2 linked regions of the Caenorhabditis elegans genome follow. The protein of the gene in region 1 interacts with the protein of each later gene in a pairwise test. Each region holds a gene or a part of one and is shown in the gene's direction. Other genes may lie near its edges. The genes, in order: C46E10.8 and lim-4.

What was found.
Region 2: the proteins of C46E10.8 (region 1) and lim-4 interact in a two-hybrid assay, tested with the Caenorhabditis elegans proteins (one large-scale study listed by BioGRID).

What each region holds. Positions count from the first base shown.
Region 1 is NC_003280.10:3,725,188-3,729,816, reverse strand, and holds C46E10.8 (C2H2-type domain-containing protein), read left to right. Parts: upstream 1-1,752; 5' UTR 1,753-1,798; coding exon of another isoform or gene 1,799-2,127; 5' UTR 2,128-2,382; coding exon 2,383-2,448; intron 2,449-2,496; coding exon 2,497-2,553; intron 2,554-2,602; coding exon 2,603-2,665; intron 2,666-2,728; coding exon 2,729-2,881; intron 2,882-2,924; coding exon 2,925-3,023; intron 3,024-3,066; coding exon 3,067-3,147; 3' UTR 3,148-3,495; intron 3,496-3,701; 3' UTR 3,702-3,967; downstream 3,968-4,629. Other genes in the region: C46E10.1 (uncharacterized protein), read right to left, coding at 3,968-4,217, 4,266-4,341, 4,392-4,539, 4,583-4,629.
Region 2 is NC_003284.9:3,868,710-3,875,622, reverse strand, and holds lim-4 (LIM/homeobox protein lim-4), read left to right. Parts: upstream 1-2,078; 5' UTR 2,079-2,327; coding exon 2,328-2,597; intron 2,598-3,025; coding exon 3,026-3,102; intron 3,103-3,148; coding exon 3,149-3,253; intron 3,254-5,065; coding exon 5,066-5,215; intron 5,216-5,267; coding exon 5,268-5,430; intron 5,431-5,476; coding exon 5,477-5,575; intron 5,576-5,623; coding exon 5,624-5,769; intron 5,770-5,812; coding exon 5,813-5,870; 3' UTR 5,871-6,219; downstream 6,220-6,913. UniProt on the Caenorhabditis elegans protein: Transcription factor that binds to the promoter of target genes. Regulates genes involved in serotonin synthesis and release in serotonergic ADF neurons.

The sequences.
Region 1 (4,629 bases):
TCTTATCAATGGACCTGCCTGAAGCTCAAGCTCTTGTGCCAGTTTATTCTCAGGTACTGTAAAATTTTCACAAATTAATTAATAAAGGATCCATTTTTTTTCAGGAATTGCGCAAGGTGCAACAGTTCAAGTAATTACATTCTCAGAAATCTCTGAGCAATCACATACGGAACACCAAATGTGGACTTGGGCTGTCTTCTTACGAAGACGTTAGTGCTTAATAGATAGCGTTTGGCATCATAATCTATCTATCTCTATCTAACTCTATCTAACTTATCTATTTCAGAGGTACACCTGCGAATTCTGCGGATCGAAATACAATTACCAAAGAAGCCTGGTCAGTCATATGAAAAGTCATCTGGAAACTGAAACTGCCGCTTCTCCAGCTCCTATGCAGACCAACTATCTCACGTGTCCTATTGGTCAGTGCGAGATGAAGTTCAGTTCGCAAAAGATACTTCTCGAACATCTTTTCTGTCGCCACATAGGCCAGGTGCAAGAAGTGTAAAGCTCCGTTCGCCAGTGTTCAAGGACTCCTTGCTCATTTCAAAGAGAAACATTGTGGACTGAAGGTAGAATCAGCGACAACGTCAGCAGACGCCGCGCAGAACACTTTAGGGGAGTTATTGAATGCGATGGGAGCTTCTTTGTCAGCAGAAAGAATAGATGGTGGGCCAAGTCAGGAGCTCAGCAAGGAAACGGATTTGCAGGAAAGCTTGTTCATAGAGTCTTCAGCTTTAGCTTCAGCCAATGGATGGCCACAGCTTTCCGTTGATAGTCAAAGTTCGGGCACCAGTGGTTTCCCAACGAGAAGCAGGCTCTTCGAAGAAAAACCATTGACCTATATCAACATTGATTCTCTTCCCTCGTCTTTTAGCCTCACAACTATGGTAAGAGTTTAAATTGTATATTGAGCAAAATCTTTGGTTTTCAGGTATCTACTCCAGCTCAGTTGCTCAGCTCTTTTCCCGGTGTTGCGACAACGCCAGAAGCTTTTTTTGAAAACTGTGAAGGAAAGTTGTGGAATTCCTTGGAAGCTTCTTTGCCGTTGAAGATCAATGATGGAATGCCAAACCAGGAGTTCGAAAAGCAAGCGGATTCTCAGAAAAACTATGGATCACCACAGCTCAGCGGTGCCACCCTTGATGGTCAAGGCTCAGTGAGTTCAAGGCTCAGTGAGAGAAAGCTCAAGTACGCAAGTGATCTTCCGACAAGCAGTAATGTTTGTGAGCCAGCCAACTCATTGAGCTCGACGAGGCACCAAACTCTCACCGGTTCTAATGGGGTAAGGCCAGTAAGTTTAACTTCATGTAAAGAGCTTCTCCCTCTACAACAAACTTTTTCCAGGTTAATCGCCAATTCAAATGTGAAATCTGTGAGAAACAATTCGCCAACAAGCCAAACTTAAACCGCCATCGAAAAATTCATTCTGGAACAAAATCCAAGAAGTGCAACATTTGTCAACAAACGCTTCACAGAGAGAATAGGGTATGCTAACTAATTTCATTTTTATATACTTTTCAGAATTTTCAGCTACAAGAGCATCTGTACACACATCTCAAAGAACGATCTCATTTCGACTGCCCCATGCTGAACTGTTTTACGCAATTTCGGTCTCATTTGGAAATTCAACGTCATCTCGAGCACCACCACCTCGTTTCACCACACAATTTGGCTCCGTGTAGGAAATGTCGCAAGCACTTTGGAACTGCCAAGTATTTCCTGATTCATCACTATTATTATCATTCTACGGTGAGAAAAAACTATATAATGCTTCAAAACTAATACATCTTCTCAGGATCTGACCTCTTCGGCTCCAGCGTCAACTTGCTCAACCAGATGGTCACCTATGACCGTATCAACTTCAGAATCCAGCTCAACTTCAGAATCCAGCTCAGGAATGCCAACACTGCAAGATCCAATTCGACGATGCCCCAATGAGCCTGTTGCACAATGCCCTTCACGCTCCAGGAAGCCCATTCAAATGCTCATTTTGTGGAGCTGAGTGTGAAGATAATCTGGCGTTTACAATTCATATTGTTACTGCCAATCATAATTTTAGTGGACTTTAATTGATAATTTCGTACTGTTAAATAGTTATTTTTCGTAACGCCATTCAATAAATCTAGTTTTAGTTCTCGAGTGAAACTTAAAATTGATATATAATATGAAAAAAGGTTTTTCGGGCGCCCAAAAACTGCCGAATAGTCTTTTTTTGAAGCTTATTAGAAACTACACATATTTTCTTTCTTTCTCTGCGTCTCTCTTTCTGACCTCCCATTTGCCCTCCGCCAATACCGCGCGCTCAATCGATATTTGCCTCCAACACTCCATTCCGTAAAGGGGCATTCATAACCATTTAAATACTTTTTTCTTCTATCAATGGACCTGCCTGTAACCCCAGGTGCTCCCAATTTTGCTCAGTTGCTTGACCCAGTTCATTCTCAGGTAACTTTTTCCACGTTTGTTTTCAAAAGATTCAATTAAAATATTCAGGAGTTGGGCAAGTTTGTCTACCAATGCAAAGCGTGTAGCAGAATTTACGCGAGCAGGGTAAGAGAAAACTTTGCTCCAATTATAGTTCCAATTATCACAATTTCAGAAATCTCTGAAGTCCCACCTGAAGAGCTACAAATATGCTCGGGAAGTCGCTGGATACAAAAGTGTGAGTTTAGTTTTTTTTACTGAACAGAAAATCCCTTTGTGTTGAAACTCTACCTTTTTCCAGAAGCATACATGCGAAATCTGCGGAGCCCATTACTCAAGTAAAATATACTTGAACCGCCATATGAAAAAGCATCTGGAAACTGCTGATTCTGGAGCTCATGCAATTCCCAGTCTGGGCTCACCTGCTCCTTCTTCTTCAGGCTTTGCAACTATGGTAAGAGCTTTGAATTGTGTTGAGCAAACTATTTGGGTTTTAGATCGTTCCACCAGCTCCGTTGCTCAGCGCTATTTCTTCTGGATCTCCACAGCTCGGGGACACACGTGTTCTCGCCTCTTTTTCGTGCTTCGCGCCAATGGTAAGAATTCATTATTGTGGTATGGAAAAGCTTGGATTTTCAGATTTCTCCGCCATCTCAATTGCTCAGCTCCATTCAAAGTGATCAAGCAGCTTCGCAGCACAATCATCTGGAGAGATGTTGAGAGCGATAGAAGCATCCTTGTCGTCAAAAAGCAATGATGGATTCGGCGCGTCAAGCCAAAAGCTCGGCGAGCAGGCAGATTTGCAGAAAAGCTCTGGATTATCAGAGCTCGGAGAAGTCACCCCAGATGGTCAAACCTCTGTGAGTTATTTGAAGTTTTGGCGTTCAACTTAGGCTGACTATTTTTTGGAAGTTTCAAACCCCACGCGCTCTGCCAACAAACAGCAAGCTCTGTGAACGGGGCGAATCGATGAGCTCAATGGGATCCCCAACTTTCAATGCAGATCAGTTACTTGGCGAATCTACCTCGATGTTCCATGGAGCACAGAAACCTCAGCAGCCAAAATTTGTAAGTTGTCAAAGCTCGCATTTCATGAGGGCAGAAAAACACCTTCCTATCTTTGAGAAGGTGTACTTTTGCCACATAGGCACGTATACACCTATGCATCTGGCTGCCTAGGCATCTAGGCACGTAGGCACCTGTGTATCTGGGTACCTAGGTACCTAGCCACGTAGGCCTAGACCTGAAATTTTGCTCTAAACACTTGTTTTCAGGAATGCGAGCATTGTGAAATTGAGTTCAAAGACGCTGTGCTGGGCCAGCTCCACACCAGTTTCCACACGATCGGCAACCCATTTCAGTGCTCACTTTGTGGAGCACAATGCTACAATGAGTACGCCTTCAACATGCATCTTGTCCAATCCAGTCACAATTAGTTTTTGTCTTGCTCCCTGTTTTATATTGCTATAATTAAGCATGTAAAAAAATAATCATTTTCATTCGTGTCCAGAAGTTTGAATTAAAATCGAATAAATCGAATCTACCGGAAAAGCATCAAAAGTACAAAAATGAGCACAACCTTCTTGAAACTAGCCGATGCATTCATCTCCTCATCAAAGCACAAACGATCCGTCCCACATCCTGTCAAATCCTCTTTCTGGCCGAGAGCAGCAGGTGTCGGCTTTTGTGGTGGTATTGGAGCTGGGGTGGTTTCTGCTACTGTCGTTGTTGGCTCAGGAGTTGTGGTAGTTGTTTCGTCGGCCGCGTATTCTTTCACCGGTGTTGGTTGTCTGAAAATATGGATTTTAAATTTGAAAAGTTCACCAGCAACTGCTCACTTTTCACAAATTCCTGCGATTTCACACAGAATTTTGATGTACTTGTGCAAATACGTGACCTCCACCACCTCCATATCTGAAATTTGAAAGATGCTTTCTTGTAGACGGATTAAACCAATTTCTCACTAGATTCGGGGCGATTCTCAATGCTTCTACTAATCACCCCGGCTATAACGGATTTGTTCGTCTCGTGGTAGTGAATATTTCCGGTTACTTCAGGAACACCGGCATAGCAGAACGTAGACTTGTCCACTGGTGAGGAGCAGTTGGTAATCTGCAAGTTATGACGATTTCCATGAAAAAAAGTTTCAGCTTACAAATCCAGACAACAGTGTCTCACGATCATCCTTGCTCGCGTACAACT
Region 2 (6,913 bases), on another chromosome or scaffold:
AGTTAAAGGTTAAAAATAACATTTGAAAAAAGATTTAATCTAGAATTATACGAATTTTCAGGTAATGCTTTTTTGATGTGAAAATGCAATTTGAACTCTGAAAAGTTGGTAAATCAAGGTTATTTTATTTTAGATCAAAACTGAGCGGCTTGTTCGTCGGCTGGTAGATCAAATGTGAACTTTTTAATGTTTCAGCACGTACTGATTTGGAAATTGTTACTTCAGTTGAATAAAACTAGTAAATCAAAAAAAAATCTAAAATTTACCATGTGTTGGCGGAATTGATTTATTGTGATGTGTATTGGATTTTTTGTGTATTATTGTTTCTTATGACACGATTCGTTTGGAATCGTATTAAATAAATAAAAAATAAAAAAAAAATTGTCCACACGTTCAAGAAATACGTAATTTTAACCTACCAGCCGACAGCCGACAACCGACGTCTGAACACTATAAAAATATCTAAATCGTGGCTGGTTTTTTTTGAAGTTTTTTTTCTAAGAAGTATTTCAAGATCAACCAATCAAAATTTTATAATTATTCTCAAATTGTCATTTTCTGATACTGTGAAAAGTAAACAATTTTTTACCAGTGGTTTAGATTTGCTGCATGTTTTTTTTTTCATTTCCAGTCAGTTTCTGGAGCAAAATAACGTCCTATATCTCTTCAGGAAGAGGTTTTTCAGATTTCAATTCCAATCTTCAACCCTCCCACAATCCTAACAACTAATAGTATTAATTTTGGTAGAATAATAAGATGCTTCCAATTTGATGCACACGTGTCGAGTGGAATGCGCCAAATGGTGGTGTGTAGGTGTGCTTCTTCCCCGTCTGTTGTTCTTTTTGAGAGCCCCCAGAGCCAATTCACATTAATCCGATAACTCTTGTTATATATGTATGTGTATCGAATCCGAAAGGATCACTATTTTAACAATAGTCCTTCGGTATCACTACCTCATTCATGTTTTCCTCAGCGGCATCCTATGAAAACGGCAGGCCTGGCAGATTGTGCGACATGAATTGATGCTCATTAGCATGAGACATCCAAGTCCTCAAGACTGGTGGCAGTAACAAGCAAACTAGTCAGGAGCCTCCAATTTTGGTGGCTCTATTATCTGGCCGAACAATTTACCCTTATTGAAACAGATATTAGTCACCTTTTCCTATTTTTTCCGAAAAACTTGGAAACGTAATATGGGATACGCAGTAGCCATGGTTTCATTATTTGAGAGAGGGGTTGCAAAATATCTCTACTTACTTATTATCTTCTTTATGATAATATTTTGCCTCCAAAGCCATTATCACACATATTTTATTCGCAACGGACACCTAGGATCATTTTTGAAACTTGTGTAGTATAACCCCACATTTTGAATACATAGTTCGAATTTATTGTATAGAAAAATACAAATTTCTAAGGCTGAAACGCAATATGTGTATCATTTTAATTAAATTGGATGAAATTCTAGAGTTCTAACATAATTTTTAATAAACAGGATTATAATATTCAAGTCCCATATTGCCTTGCACCCAATTGTTTAATTTTGTCAGCTTTTATCTCATTTTTAGTTTTTTTTTGCATTTTCACTGTATTCTAGAGGTGGACAGCAATTCTACAAAATTACCTATGTTCCATTTTGTTCCAACTTTTTCTATTGAAAATTGATATTAAATTAAGGGAAATTACTTAATTAGTTTGAAAATGACATTCATTGAAACGTTCAAGAAAATGCTGAAAATTGGTTGATTTTCAAGTATCGAATAGTCGAAATATTTAATTTTTCAGGACAGTTTAGAGCACTTTTGAAAACGTTTCAGCTAAAATAAATAGATTTTTTCGGAAAAAAAAACCATCTCAAAATATGCATTTTTGTTCAATGGCCTGGATGCCAGACCATTTCTTAAAATGTTTAATGCTCTAATAAAAACTATCAAACTAATTTTTTTTTTGAAATTTAGCTGTTTATTTATTCATACTTCATATGATATTAATTATTCTCGATATTAACACTTTATTTGCACTTGATAAGCATTAAATAATTTCCTATTGTTATAACTTTAATTTGGGAACTTTCAGATTCCGGAGATCTGGGCTCCTTCTTTTGCCGGACACTCCTACGCAAGCAGCCAACCACATCCGCCTTGCCGCCCAATAGTGAGCATCCCAGTGGGCGGGGCGAGCTTCTAGTGAGGCCTTTTCGACAGAACAACAGACTAGAAGGAAGACTTTTGCGTCGGTGCTCGTCGACTCGTTAGTGGTCCTTGTTGTCTTGTTATCTACAGCTCGGCCGGCAGTTCGTTAAGAAAGCAGCTGTCACAAGTTGCACCATGGATGCTCATCTTGTTCAGGCAAAGAAGACGTCGACGGCGTCTGAATTGTCAGACTCGTCGCTCACGTTCCCCTTCATCGGTGACTATTTGTCGAGTCCTTCGCTCACAACTTCCGACTACGTGTCTGATTGCTCCAACTTGACTGTTGAGGGTCCAGTTCCTGCCAATCAAGAGTTCTCGTCGTCCGACGAGTCGTCAGTCTACATTTCAAGTGCTCTAAGGCTAGCTGATTATGCCTTTACTCCAGATGATAATATTCGAATCAAGGTGAGGTCTAGACTTCAATTTGTTTAATTGTATGCATCAGCTTTTAGTTTTTTTTGCCGATTTTTCAGTCAGCAATTTAGATGGTTCCTGTATTGTTCTGAAGTTAAAGAATTTTGTGAAAAACTGTTCTTCAAAGTTTTTGTCGAGTTCTAGAAAGAAGTTTTTCGTCGGTTTTTGTTTACGAAAAGTTCTTATAAAATTCTTACTACTAAATAAGTATGTTTAATATTTATCTGAAGGATAATAATTTCAATTTCACCACACAAATTCAAAAATTAAAAATATCCACATCTTTTATCCAATTTTTAGTGACTCAAAACTTATCTTAAAAGCAAGATCTTACACCGGAAACGACTTGAATAGGATCCTAATTGTATAGTTTCTTTTCATATGATTTTTTGTCCACAAGACTACTGTAATGGTTGCAGCCTGATGCGGTAATCGTCATATGCACACAATGTCAACATCAGATTCAAGACAAGTTTTTTCTAAGCATCGATGGAAGGTAATATTGAATTGGATTTGAAAAACATTTGAAGACTTTTTTTCAGAAACTACCACGAAAATTGTCTTCAGTGCAGCACATGCGAAAACCCATTGAGCAATAAATGTTTCTACAAAGACAAAACGTTTTACTGTAAAGGATGTTATTTCCGGTTAGTTGATTGGTGATTAGCCATCCCTTGAGAGCACTGAGCAAAGGAAAAAGCTTAGTCAACTTGTTTTGTTTAAATTTAGTAGTGGATAGTCGTTTTCAAAAAACTGAGGAACAAACTTAATCCGAATAGTATCAAAAATAAAAATAAAACATACATGATCACCGAATATTGCCTAACAAATCCTAAAATAACATGTATGAGGCAGTACTTAATGAGGTGCACAGTTGTGCGCGCGAATAAGGCCCGCAGCTGTCAGCTAGGACGAACCTGGTTCCGTTATGTAATATTACAGTAATCCCCCAGTCCTTGGTCTCTCGGAACCTATATATTATCAGATTTGGGGCCGGGGTTTATATTGTTATATTCCTCTCGCTTGGTTTCATCTTTCATCATAACCGTTGTTAAATTGAATCAGTGCCAGTTTCTTCTTGGCTTCCCTCAAAATTCGTTTTAAAAACTCAGTTTGCTCCTAAGTTTGGCTCAAGAAAAAAAAATGAAATAAAACTTGGGACTTAAAGAAAACATTTCAAAACATTCAGAATAGAAGAATCGATAGTTCAGAAAAGACACGGGGCGCGTTAACCGAGTTATTCTCTATATGCTTTGTGCTCCACACATCCTAAAACGAATAAATCTGCGCGAATCCGTTTAAGCAAACGTGGATGTTGTGTGTCTATTCGTGTTCAACACAAAAAGAAAAGAAAAGGAAACTGGTAAAGATGATGCTGACCGAATTGTCTTTGTAAAGAAATAAGGGAAAAAAGTTGAATTTCCTGAATGTGCCACAAAAAGAGAACTTTATAGAGCAAAAAAAACCCTCGAAGGGGTAAAAAAGTTAAGAATATTTGAAACAGTTAAAATTATGGAAACTTTAGAAAAAAGCAAATGGAAATAATTCTCAATATTTTTGAGGCCTACTCCAAACCAACTCCAAACCAACTAAACCTACTCCACATTTTTTTGCAGTTCCTCAATAAACTTCAGAGTGTCTGAAATTAGGCAAACACTCTGACAGGTTTCGGGAATTTTTCATCTTTTTTCTGAAAAAAAATCTGAATTTTTAGACAAGACCAAGACTGTAATGAAATTTTTCAGTCAAAAAATTATTTTTAAAACTTTGCCAGTAATATATATTTTACTTTAAAAATGGCTATATTTATGGGGCCATTCAAGTATTGTCCGAAAATTAAAAAGTGTTGAAAAATGACAAAAAAATTAAAATACATAAAACACGTATTTTAATACAGTTGTGCCGTTATGAATGTATTTAAATACATTTTGCAACATTACTTGAATAATCCCATTACATTACGAAAAAAAAAAATTCGAAACTAATTTCTGAATTGAAAAATGGAAAATTTTCAAATTTCAGCCTAAATTAATAAATTATAATTTTTATCACAAATTTAAACCGTTACAGAAGATTTTCTGTTGTATCTGTAATACCACACAATTTGCTGATCTACCTTAAAGTTTATGGGCTTAAAACACCTGAAAATCATCCAAAAACTGTATACAACTAGGCTTCTTCTTACCCAAAGGAACCCGCTAAAACACCCTGTAACAATTGACTCTTGATTATTCAATTCAAGTGTCTGTTTGATAGACCCCCGCCAGACTTCCGTGTGACAGATGGCTCATCCCAATGTCTCGTGTAAAAAGATGCGGCGACATGTTGCGCGGTGTCGTTTATACAGTACATTTAGCCACTTATCTTCTTCTATTATTATAAGAAACGCTTTTTTGTGCTAAGGGGCTTAAAAGTATGGGAAAAAGCTATGTACATATAAAACCAATTATACTTTTAAGAACGCATGTCACATCAACCGCTTCCAGTTGCAGAGAACTTGGACCCAAGTGTGCATCTTGCGATCGTACTATTCAGGCGACTGATTGGGTACGAAGAGCAAGAAACTATGTATACCATCTTGCGTGTTTTTCGTGCAACCAGTGCAAAAGGTAGGTATTCTAAATTTCATATGAAGACTTTTAATTGACATAGTTATTTCAGACAATTGAGTACAGGGGAAGAATACGCACTTCAAGAGGGCAATCTTCTCTGCAAACAGCACTTTTTGGAACTTGTTGAAGGAGACAGTGGGGTGTCTAGTCAGAAAGCTAAGACTAAAAGGGTTCGGACCACTTTTGCGGAAGATCAATTATCGGTTCTTCAGGTATGCAAGTTACAATTGACGTGAAATAGAAAAATAGTGATTTCAGACATATTTCAACCGGGACAGTAATCCGGATGGTGCTGATTTGGAAAAGATTGCCTCCATGACAGGACTGAGTAAAAGAGTGACCCAGGTGTGGTTCCAGGTAAGATATTGTGCCCAAAAAAATAAATTAAAAAAAATTATTTTAAAGAATTCACGAGCTCGTCAAAAGAAATGGCATCAAAAATCCGAAGGTGACAATGGAGATAGCCAGAGGTCATCTGTGGGGCCTTCCAGTCCTAGTCAAAAATCGGATAGCAGCAGTGAAATGATGTATCCAACTTCTGTAACTACAAGGTACCTACAACCTAAACTTTTATAACTACCTTTCAATTTTCAGCGTGGAAGATGCAATTCCGGACTCAATCGTTATTCTGGGCTCACTACAATTCGATTGAAAAACAATCTCATCCGACTTTCCTCAATTTCAAAAATATATCATCGCTTTCTCGGCTAACTTAGAGTTTATCTTTCCTGTGGAAAATACGCTTGCTTCTAATTTGATAATTTTTTCTGGTCAAAACGAATCTCACCTCTCCCATTATCTAAATCTAAATTCCCATGTCTCAAAACTACGTATCAAGATTTTAAAACTTGATACCACAGTGCAGCTATGTATGTGACATGTACATTTGCATTGTCCCCCCCTGTTCTCTTAATTTCCTATTATACAAGTTATGATACTCGATTAAATTACAGTCTCCTCCATTCTGCTTAGTTTTGAATAAACCTAACCATCTTTGAAAAGTGAACTATATTGTCTAAACCTTATGGCCTTTCAGTCGCCAGTCTCGTCTTAAGAGGGGCATAACCTGTTCATTCAGAAAGGCATCTTCTACTTGCCAACCATGTACACTTCAATTTCACACTTCTTCGCTACTATTCGGTAATTTTTCACTCAACTGTGTCATTTCAATATCTGTTTTTATAATTTTGAATATTCAACTTAGTTATTCCATTTTTGTATTATAATAGACAGTTAGAGAAATCTTTCTGAAAAACTAGCTGTAATTTTAGATGTTTGGAAGAAACTTGAAATTGGATTTTAAAGAAAGTTTGGAGCTAAATTTTTTCAATATTTAATGTTTACAATATGCGGGTTAAAATTCTGATCAGTCAAAAGTGTTTGGACTACTTTATCAGAATCGGTTTTCTTATTTAGTTTTATTCTGAAAATTGATTTTTTTGTCTGAGAATCTGTAGATTTCGCAAACGGTAATTTAACAAAAATCAACTAATGTTTGCAGTCAGTTTCAGTAGGTATTCTATTTTTTGGATTTTTTTTACCTGTGTCTCTTGGGTTTTCTTTAAGGTGTACAAATTTTATCCAGCTTAACATATCAAAAAGTGTATTCAAGTTATTTTACCTCTACAAACATATTGCAAACTCAAATCTTGTTCAAGTTTAGTTATACGTGTAATATTTTTGAGGTAGGTAATT